Macaca mulatta: one gene and its partner. The main gene of each other region encodes a partner of the protein of the gene in region 2 in a complex. Links are inferred from orthologs where the notes say so. Each region holds a gene or a part of one and is shown on either strand. Other genes may lie near its edges.

Region 1 (4,261 bases), on a different chromosome or scaffold from region 2:
AGGGAAGAAGAGAAAAACAAAGAAAGAGGAAAAAGAAAGAAAAGAAATAAAGAGAAAGAAAGGCAAATTAATGCTTTGGAGTCATTACTCTTCCACCTAGGCATGGGGGGAGGGGGATGGTACAAAAACAATGGATACTGAGGGGCTGGGGGAAAAAATCGTCTTGCCCCGAAGCCTCTTGCGTTATAAGCCTGGGGGAGTCGGGGGAGAGTGAGACTACTTTTCCTCTCTCCCTAAAAGCTGTGCTATCACGGGGAGAGGTTGCCATCCGGCATGTTCTACGAGGCGGTCTCGAAGGGCTACAACTCGCTTCGCCAGGCAACACACCCAGAGCCGATCCAGCACTCTTCACTCAAAGGGTTTTCAGGGAGAGGAGAACGGGAAAGCAAGGTGGGCTCTAGGGAGGGGGCGCGAAGAGACCCCACCCTGTATGACCGCCGCTGCGCCCGGGCCCTCGCCAACGATTTACACGACTTGGGCGCCCTGCGGACTGGGCCCGGGCCCCCCGGGAACCGAGAAGAGCGAGACTGTCCGCCGGGCGCCCCCGGCCCGCGCCCTCGCGCCGGCTCGCCCTCGCCCAGGCGCTGTCCTGGCCGCCCGCCGCCGCCGCAGGCCCGGCCCCGGCCGCTGTCAGACCCGACCGCCTTCCTCTCCGCGCCGAGCTGCGGGCTCCCACGCGAGCAGGCTCCGAGGGCCCCGCACTCCCGGAGACAGCACCCAGGAAAGCGGCGGCGGCGGCGCCTCCCAGGGCCCCGGCCCCTCGGGCCTCGCCCCGGCGTTGCCGGCTCGCGCCTGTCAGGGCGCGCGGGGCCTCCCCCTACCGACAGCCAGCCCGACAGCCCGACGGACAGGAAGGCAGGCAGGAAGAACCGACCCACAGACACCCTCCGCCTCATCGGCCCCGGGTTACCGTCAGGAGCCCCGACTCCGCCATCCTCCTCGCTCGCCCTGCTTCCTCCTCTTCCTCCTCCTCCTCCTAAGAAGCGACGCTGCCCAACCGCCGCCCCCCGCCCGCCCCTCCCCCACTCGCCCCGCCCCACCCGCCCCTCCACTACTCTCGCTCCAGCCTCCCCGCCCCACCCCTCCGGCGTGGGCCCGTCACTCGCTAGGCAAGAAAAATGGGCGGAGCCGGGGCAAGCGAAGCTGCCCAATCAGAGAAGGGCAGTGGCGCCTGCTTCTCTCTCTCCGCCCTTTTCCTTTCCTCAGTTCCTCTACGCCGTCTCCCGCCCACTGGGCGCCGCTGGCTAGCCGGGCTACAGAGTAAGCCTCCTGCAGGGTAGAGTGACAACTCTCCGATCGGAAGTTACTGTTGAAGCTAAGGCGGCCATAACTGATAATGGCAACAGGAGTTTCCTGGCTTCCTGTTTCCAGGGTGACGTAGATTTTTTTCCTTCGCCAGTCTCACCGTTACCCGGGGCAACAGCTGAGCAGTCTGGGAAGGGATGCATCTGTAAGTAAGCCCAAAGAGGTACCGTGGGTGACCAGACATCCCATGTTAGACAAGTTAATTCATACTCTGGACTACACGTCCAGTTTCCCGGCCCTTATTTTACTGAGACATCTGGTCACATACGTAGATGGACTATAGTTTAGGGCTCCGAAAATCCCTCTCCTGCCCGGAAGTTGCATTTGGCACTTCCGAATAGGGTCATGGCGGAAGGGGGTAAGGGGGTAAATAGCCTCGCCGCCCGTGCCCTAGGGAATGCCCATTCTTGACCTCAGTTGCAAAGTGAGGTGAGTCCCTGGGCCCCAACAAGTGGGCCGGACCCGAGCCGGACGGTCCCTGTGGGACGGAGCGCTGAAATGGAGAGCGGGGCTCAGGGCCCCTTCCGTTAGAAGCTGCTTTTCTTTCCGGGCTGGCCTAGCGGCGGCCCGCCCTCCCTCCGCCCCCCTGAGGCTCCCTGTGGGGTGAGGCAGCGCTACAGGCCGCCCTAGCCCAGCCAGAGCCAGGCTGGCTGGGAGGGCCCCAGCGGGGAATGGGCGCGGACCTCGGGCGGAGCTCCTAACTCCGGCAAAATGGAGCTCCTGACCACGCCTCCGCAAGTTCCTATTAAGTACTTTCACTCTCTGGCCTTTAGAGGGAAGAGAATTCGGGAACTTGAGAAAATAATTTTCCACCTTCAGCTATAAAAGAAAAAGATGAGCCCCTACAATCAGGGCAAGACCTCTGTCTTTTTCCCCTGCCACCTGCCTTCTCATTCTGAGTTTTCCCCCCTTTCCGCGTTTGTCCTTTGTAAGCTTTGACTGCGGTTCTTGTGGTGGGATATACTATCCTAATCCTGCAGGTCTACAGATTCTTAACGTGTTGAATATTTTTGAAAATACTGTATTGCTTTAATATGGCCCTTTACAAAGTTATCATACATTATCTTGTAGTTTCTTCTGTATGCTTGAGTCAAGAACTCTCAGTCATCTTGGTAATACCGGGTTGGATGCTTAAAGCTGCAGCAAAAAGACCAGAACTTTCAGGTAAAATTGAAAATTGTTAATATCCAGCCAGTCAACAAAACCTACCTTCTCGACTTAATTTCTACTTCCCTGGTACTTACACGCCAGCCAAAATGAACTACTCTTGTTTCTTGGCGGTTAATTACTGAAATCTGTTGTAGCACTCACCTTTTGTGATTCTGTCTGATTCTGTTATTCGCGGAGATGTGTTTCCAGATTCTCCCCAGCAGAAAGTAATTCCTCTGAGTTTAGCATTTTTTGCACGTCTTTTATGACAATCAGTATGTTATATATATATAATAGCCGCTTATGTTTTTAACTTCACTACCATGTCTGCACCTAAATAGAATGGTTTGTATCAGATTCGTCTTCCTGTCATTTTCACCCTGCACATGATATTATTTTGGTAAATACTTACTGAAAGTTTGAATATCTCGGGTGTCTCTTGGATGCCCAAGACAGTTCCAGCCAAGTTTTAGAGATCTTCAATTTATCAGAAATTCAACTGAGCGCCTGCTACTCAGCCTTTTTTGACGTTTCCCCTGTGAAGTCTTTCTGACATGATTTTTTTCCCCAATGTTTTATTATGAAAGTGTTCATATATTTAAAAGCTGAAAGAATTAAATAATTTAATGAATATTCATATACCCGTCATCTAGATGCAGCAGTTAACATTTTGCCATATTTTTTTCATTCCTCCTCATTTTTTCATTGTTGTAAAAAGTTGCAGACACTTATTGTTAGGCAGACACCCTTAAGACTTTGAGCATGAATTTCCTGAGAATTTTGAAGTTCTCTAGCAAAACACAATATCATTATTACAGCTGTTTTGTAATGTTTAAAATCTAGCCCAAGTGCTAATTTTCCTAATTTACCCAGGAATATCCTTTATACCTTCTCCTTCCCATTCTTGCAAAAAAAAGAAATCAGGATCCAGTCAAAATTTTTCTTCAGCTTTAATGTAGTGGAGTTCCCCCATCTTTTTCCCCCTGTGACATTGGCATTTTGAAGAGTTCAAGCCAGGAGTCTTTTTGGAAATGGGCCCCCCTTTTTTCTTCTTGTAAACCAGAAATTAGTCTAGAGGCTTAAGTTGAACATTTTTTTTTTTTTGCAAGGATATGTCACAGTGTTCATACTTTTCCAGTCATGACTAAGCCTTCTCAAACGCCAAGTATACGCACCTTTTCCATGATTTGCTGGTTAAATCCATCTCACTTCTCAGCATGCTTACCCCTCTCCGGTGTCCTACAAAGAGGAGGGTAGCATTTAATCATGTGTGTATAGAGTATGTGTTAGTGCCTTGGGTTGGCAACATAGACTGACTACCTTTAATAAAGTGTTGCTGCTACTTTGCCTATTCTTGGAACTGATGCAATGTATTTCTGCAGTAAAGTGTACTGATGTCAGCATAGTTTATGAGTTTCAACTCCTGGCACCCTGCAGACATTGTTGGAAGATGTGTGGGCCCTGCTATTCAAATACAGATGAATCTTGATGTTATCAAAGCAAATACCAAGGCAACTGTTGGCCATCTGGTCACATTCCAATTTAGGCATTGTTATTTTTCTCACTGAAATTCTCATGCAAGTCTTAATTGGTCCTGGTGTTTTTGTGATAGCTTTTTGGTAGCATTAAGCAGAGCCTATTAAAAATTACAAAATCAAGATTATACTTAGTACATTAGATACATCCTCTGTCTAATGGATAGATAAGTGTTTGTGGAATTTACTTCATAATCACAAAAGGAAAATTCTCAAGACTGCCAACCTCATATACTCCTAGCCTAGACTTATATTTGATTATGAAAGATAAG
Region 2 (3,647 bases):
CCACGCCTGGTCTGGCCAGACTCTTAACTGCCATCTCCTTGCTGATGTAAATTGTCTTGTTTGCTTTTTTTTCCAAGCTCGGCATTTACCAGAAGGCATTTGAACATCTTGGCAATGCACTGACTTATGACCCTACCAACTACAAGGTACTACAGACTGTGAAGGCTCTGGCCTTCAGATAGATGGTCCCACTGCTCCTAGAGGTGATCTGACCCTGGAAAGCAAAGGAATAGCTTCTTAAATTTGGATACCTGAGAAATAGAAAAAATACAAATATAAGGTGGTTCTTCTTATTTGAAAGTATTGTCAAGTATGCTCTACTTATCTTCTAAAAGTGCACATTTGTTACAATAGACGTGTAACCCCTGCAGAAAGCAGAATCATAGTGCTAGTAAAGCTTGTGTGTTAGGAAATTAGCAATGCCTCCACAACTATTGTCAAAAATAAATCTGCTGGGCATGGTGGCTTATGCCTGTAATCCCAGCACTTTGGAATGCTGAGGCAGGAGGATCGCTTGAGGCCAGGAGTTCAAGACCAGGCTTGGCAACGTAGTGAGACCCCCATCTCTACAAAAAAAAATTATTATTCAGGCATGGTGGCACACACCTGTAGTCCTAGATACTCAGAAGTTGGAAGAGGGAAGATCACTTGAGCCCAGGAGTTTGAGGATACAGTAGGCTATGATGGCACCACTGTACTCCAGCCTGCGTGACAGAGTGAGACCCTGTCTCTAAAAGGCAACAATAATCATGTTGAAATGACTTCTAGAATCTTAATGATTTGATATTACAACTTTTGTCTAGATGTGACTTGGGGAATGAGAAGGAATAGCATCAAATGGATGAGTATCATTGAGGAGATGCAGCAAGACAAGCTGTTTATAGAAGGATACAAACAGAGTTCTGATTTAGGAAGTAATATTAGCCTCTCAGCTCCCACCTTGATACCTTTCCTTAGAGAAATGAAAGGGCTGGGCCGACGAAGCCTAAAGCTGACTCACCCTCTGTTCTATGGTAGAAAGAAATATACCTTAAGTAGCCACGTACAGGTGTATTTCAGGTGTCTAGAATACTTGGTGTACCGGGCTGCAGAGAACAGATTAAAGGAAGTTAAAATTAATCAAAAGGTTCTGGTATTCATTCTGAAATACTGACTTTCCTGGCTAGAAGTAGGAAACAGATGGGTAAAGCAAGTAAAATTTTATCTTTTTTTTTTCTTTTTGTTTTTTTGTGCTGTGCCAGAGAGAGCCACAGTGTAGGGTGCAAGGGCATTCCTCAGGAACATTTGTCCCAATAGCTTGGATATATTATTTATGTCCCTGGAAGAAATTTTTCAGTCCCATCTGTGCTGATGGGCCTGCTGAGTATAGACTCAGGAAGGCTGCCTCACTGCTACAGCCTTTTGGGAATGACTGAATTACTTTCTATGTGCCATGTTTTCAGGCCATCTTGGCAGCAGGCAGCATGATGCAGACCCACGGGGACTTTGATGTTGCCCTCACCAAATACAGAGTTGTGGCTTGTGCTGTTCCAGAAAGTCCTCCACTCTGGAATAACATTGGAATGTGTTTCTTTGGCAAGAAGAAATATGTGGCGGTGAGTGTCCCCTCATGTTCTTTGTTCGCATTCATATATGTAGTTATTGGTCTGTTTAGCTTGCCCCACTCATTGAGTGCCCCTTCTCTCTCATAGGCCATCAGCTGCCTGAAACGAGCCAACTACTTGGCACCCTTCGATTGGAAGATTCTGTATAATTTGGGCCTTGTCCATCTGACTATGCAGCAGTATGCATCAGCTTTTCATTTTCTCAGTGCAGCCATCAACTTCCAGCCAAAGATGGGGGAGCTCTACATGCTCTTGGCAGGTAAGAAACATTTATGTGGAAAACTCTCTCTGCCATCTGTAATGAGGGAAAAATGGATTAGAATCATGGAAGATCAGTGGCTGTCTCATAGGAGCCATTCCCTTAGAGATCCTATAGGAATCTGGATTACTGTCCTGGAGCTTGAAGAAATAGATAAAAGATGACAAAAGAACTTGGTTGTTTCTCACTTGGGGGAGTTTCACTCAGAGACCAACAGGTTAAATAAAGATCATCCCTAGTTCACCTTTTACCAATTTTTTCCTCTTGCCTTGACAATTCATTTTTATATATATTGAGTCCAACTAAGTTCCAGATAGGAAGTGTTAAGAGCTTGGGGTCTAGGTGGGGTCCTGCCTCTACTACTTATTATATGTACCTAGGGCTGATGTGAGGATTGCATGATTAAGCACTCAATTCATAATACTGGTTTTGTTGAAATACTGATTTTTGAAAACTTGGTTTTACTGTGGTTATATAATTGGTCTATTATTATCAATATTGTTGTTACTATAATTGGCCCCTAGGTGGTACTTCTAAGTCAAGCTACCTTATGTTTAAACCCTTATCTCTTCTAAGCATGTTATATAGAATGCTGTTCTCTTCCTGAAACTCATTTTATGCCATGCAAATACTAAAATTATCATAAAAATAAGTTAAAATTAAACACTAAAAATTATGCACAACCATTTTAATTTTAAAGTACTGACTAAATAGTCTTCCTAGGAAATTTTTTCTCCATATACATTTACTTACTAAATATAAGACCCAAAGCAGATTTCTATGTCCTCATTTGGCAGTGGTCTTCCAGTGGCTTTTTGTTTATTATTGTGGGGTTCTTACTCAGAAAGCTTGCAAAAGCAATTGAGTCATGGTTATTTGAGGGTTGCCTGAATACAAAGATAACTGCTTTAAAAAAACAACAACATAGGTTTTATTATTATTATTATTCAGATATGGTATGGGCAACAGATCAGAAGACATCTGCCACTGGAAAGATAGTCTGTTACAATTCCTGAGAAGGAGGGCATGCCACACCATGCAGGGCCACATGGGGAAGCACCAGGTCAATCAGAAGGTGGAGGGAGCAAGGGGTAAATGTGGGCACGATTCTTTATTATAGTTTTCATGGGTAGAAATCCCCATACCCAATAGTTATTTTTTTTCTGGCCCTCCCTGCTCCTCCAATAAGCTCCGGTGTCTGTTTCCCTCTCTGTTTCCATGTGTTCTCATCATTTAGCTCTTACAGTGAGAACAGGATTTGGTTTTCTGTCCTGCATTAGTTAAGCTAAGGATGATGGCCTCCAGCTCCATCTATGTTGCTGCAAAGGACATGATCTTGTTCTTTTGTATGACTGTGTAGTATTCCATGGTGTACATTTACATTTTGTTTATCCAGAATGGGCATTTAGGTTGATTTTACATCTTTGCTATTGTGAATAGTGCTGCATTGAACACACAAATGCATGTGTCTTTACAGCAGAATGATTTATATTTCTTTGGGCATATACCCAGTAATGGGATTGCTGGGTTGAATGGTAGATCTGTTTTTAGCTCTTGGGGGAATTGCCACACTGCTTTCCACAATGGTTGAACTAATTACACTCCCATCAACAGTGTATAAGCATTCCCTTTTCTCTGCAGCCTCACCAGGATGTTACCTTTTGAGTTTTTAATAATAGCCATTCTGACTGGTGTGAAATGGTTATCTCATTGTGGTTTTGATTTGCATTTCTCTAATCAGTGATACTGAGCTTTTTTTCATATGCTTGTTGGCTGCATGTATG

What was found.
Region 1: the proteins of BBS4 (region 2) and BBIP1 are in contact, whole or in part, in a cryo-EM structure (PDB 6VBV), measured with the Bos taurus proteins. The link is inferred for Macaca mulatta from reciprocal best matches to the Homo sapiens genes BBS4 and BBIP1. Residues at the interface, in NP_001069424.1 of Bos taurus: Leu210, Leu213, Tyr236, Leu240, Ala241, Ser244, Gln247, Thr248, Ser269, Pro271, Asn274, Asn275, Met278, Phe281, Gly282, Lys284, Tyr298, Leu299, Pro301, Leu302, Asp303, Trp304, Lys305, Ile306, Tyr308, Asn309, Leu312, Leu315, Thr316, Gln318; in XP_003587939.1 of Bos taurus: Met7, Phe8, Arg9, Glu10, Val11, Leu12, Pro13, Lys14, Gln15, Gly16, Gln17, Leu18, Tyr19, Val20, Glu21, Asp22, Leu28, Lys30, Pro31.

Annotation. Positions count from the first base shown.
Region 1 is NC_133414.1:123,099,998-123,104,258, reverse strand, and holds the start of BBIP1 (BBSome-interacting protein 1), read left to right. Parts: upstream 1-1,390; 5' UTR 1,391-1,734; intron 1,735-2,310; exon of another isoform or gene 2,311-2,376; 5' UTR 2,377-2,432; coding exon 2,433-2,469; exon of another isoform or gene 2,470-2,787; intron 2,788-2,866; exon of another isoform or gene 2,867-3,059; intron 3,060-3,629; exon of another isoform or gene 3,630-3,693; intron 3,694-4,261.
Region 2 is NC_133412.1:50,453,372-50,457,018, forward strand, and holds part of BBS4 (BBSome complex member BBS4), read left to right. Parts: intron 1-77; coding exon 78-146; intron 147-1,442; coding exon 1,443-1,595; intron 1,596-1,691; coding exon 1,692-1,863; intron 1,864-3,647.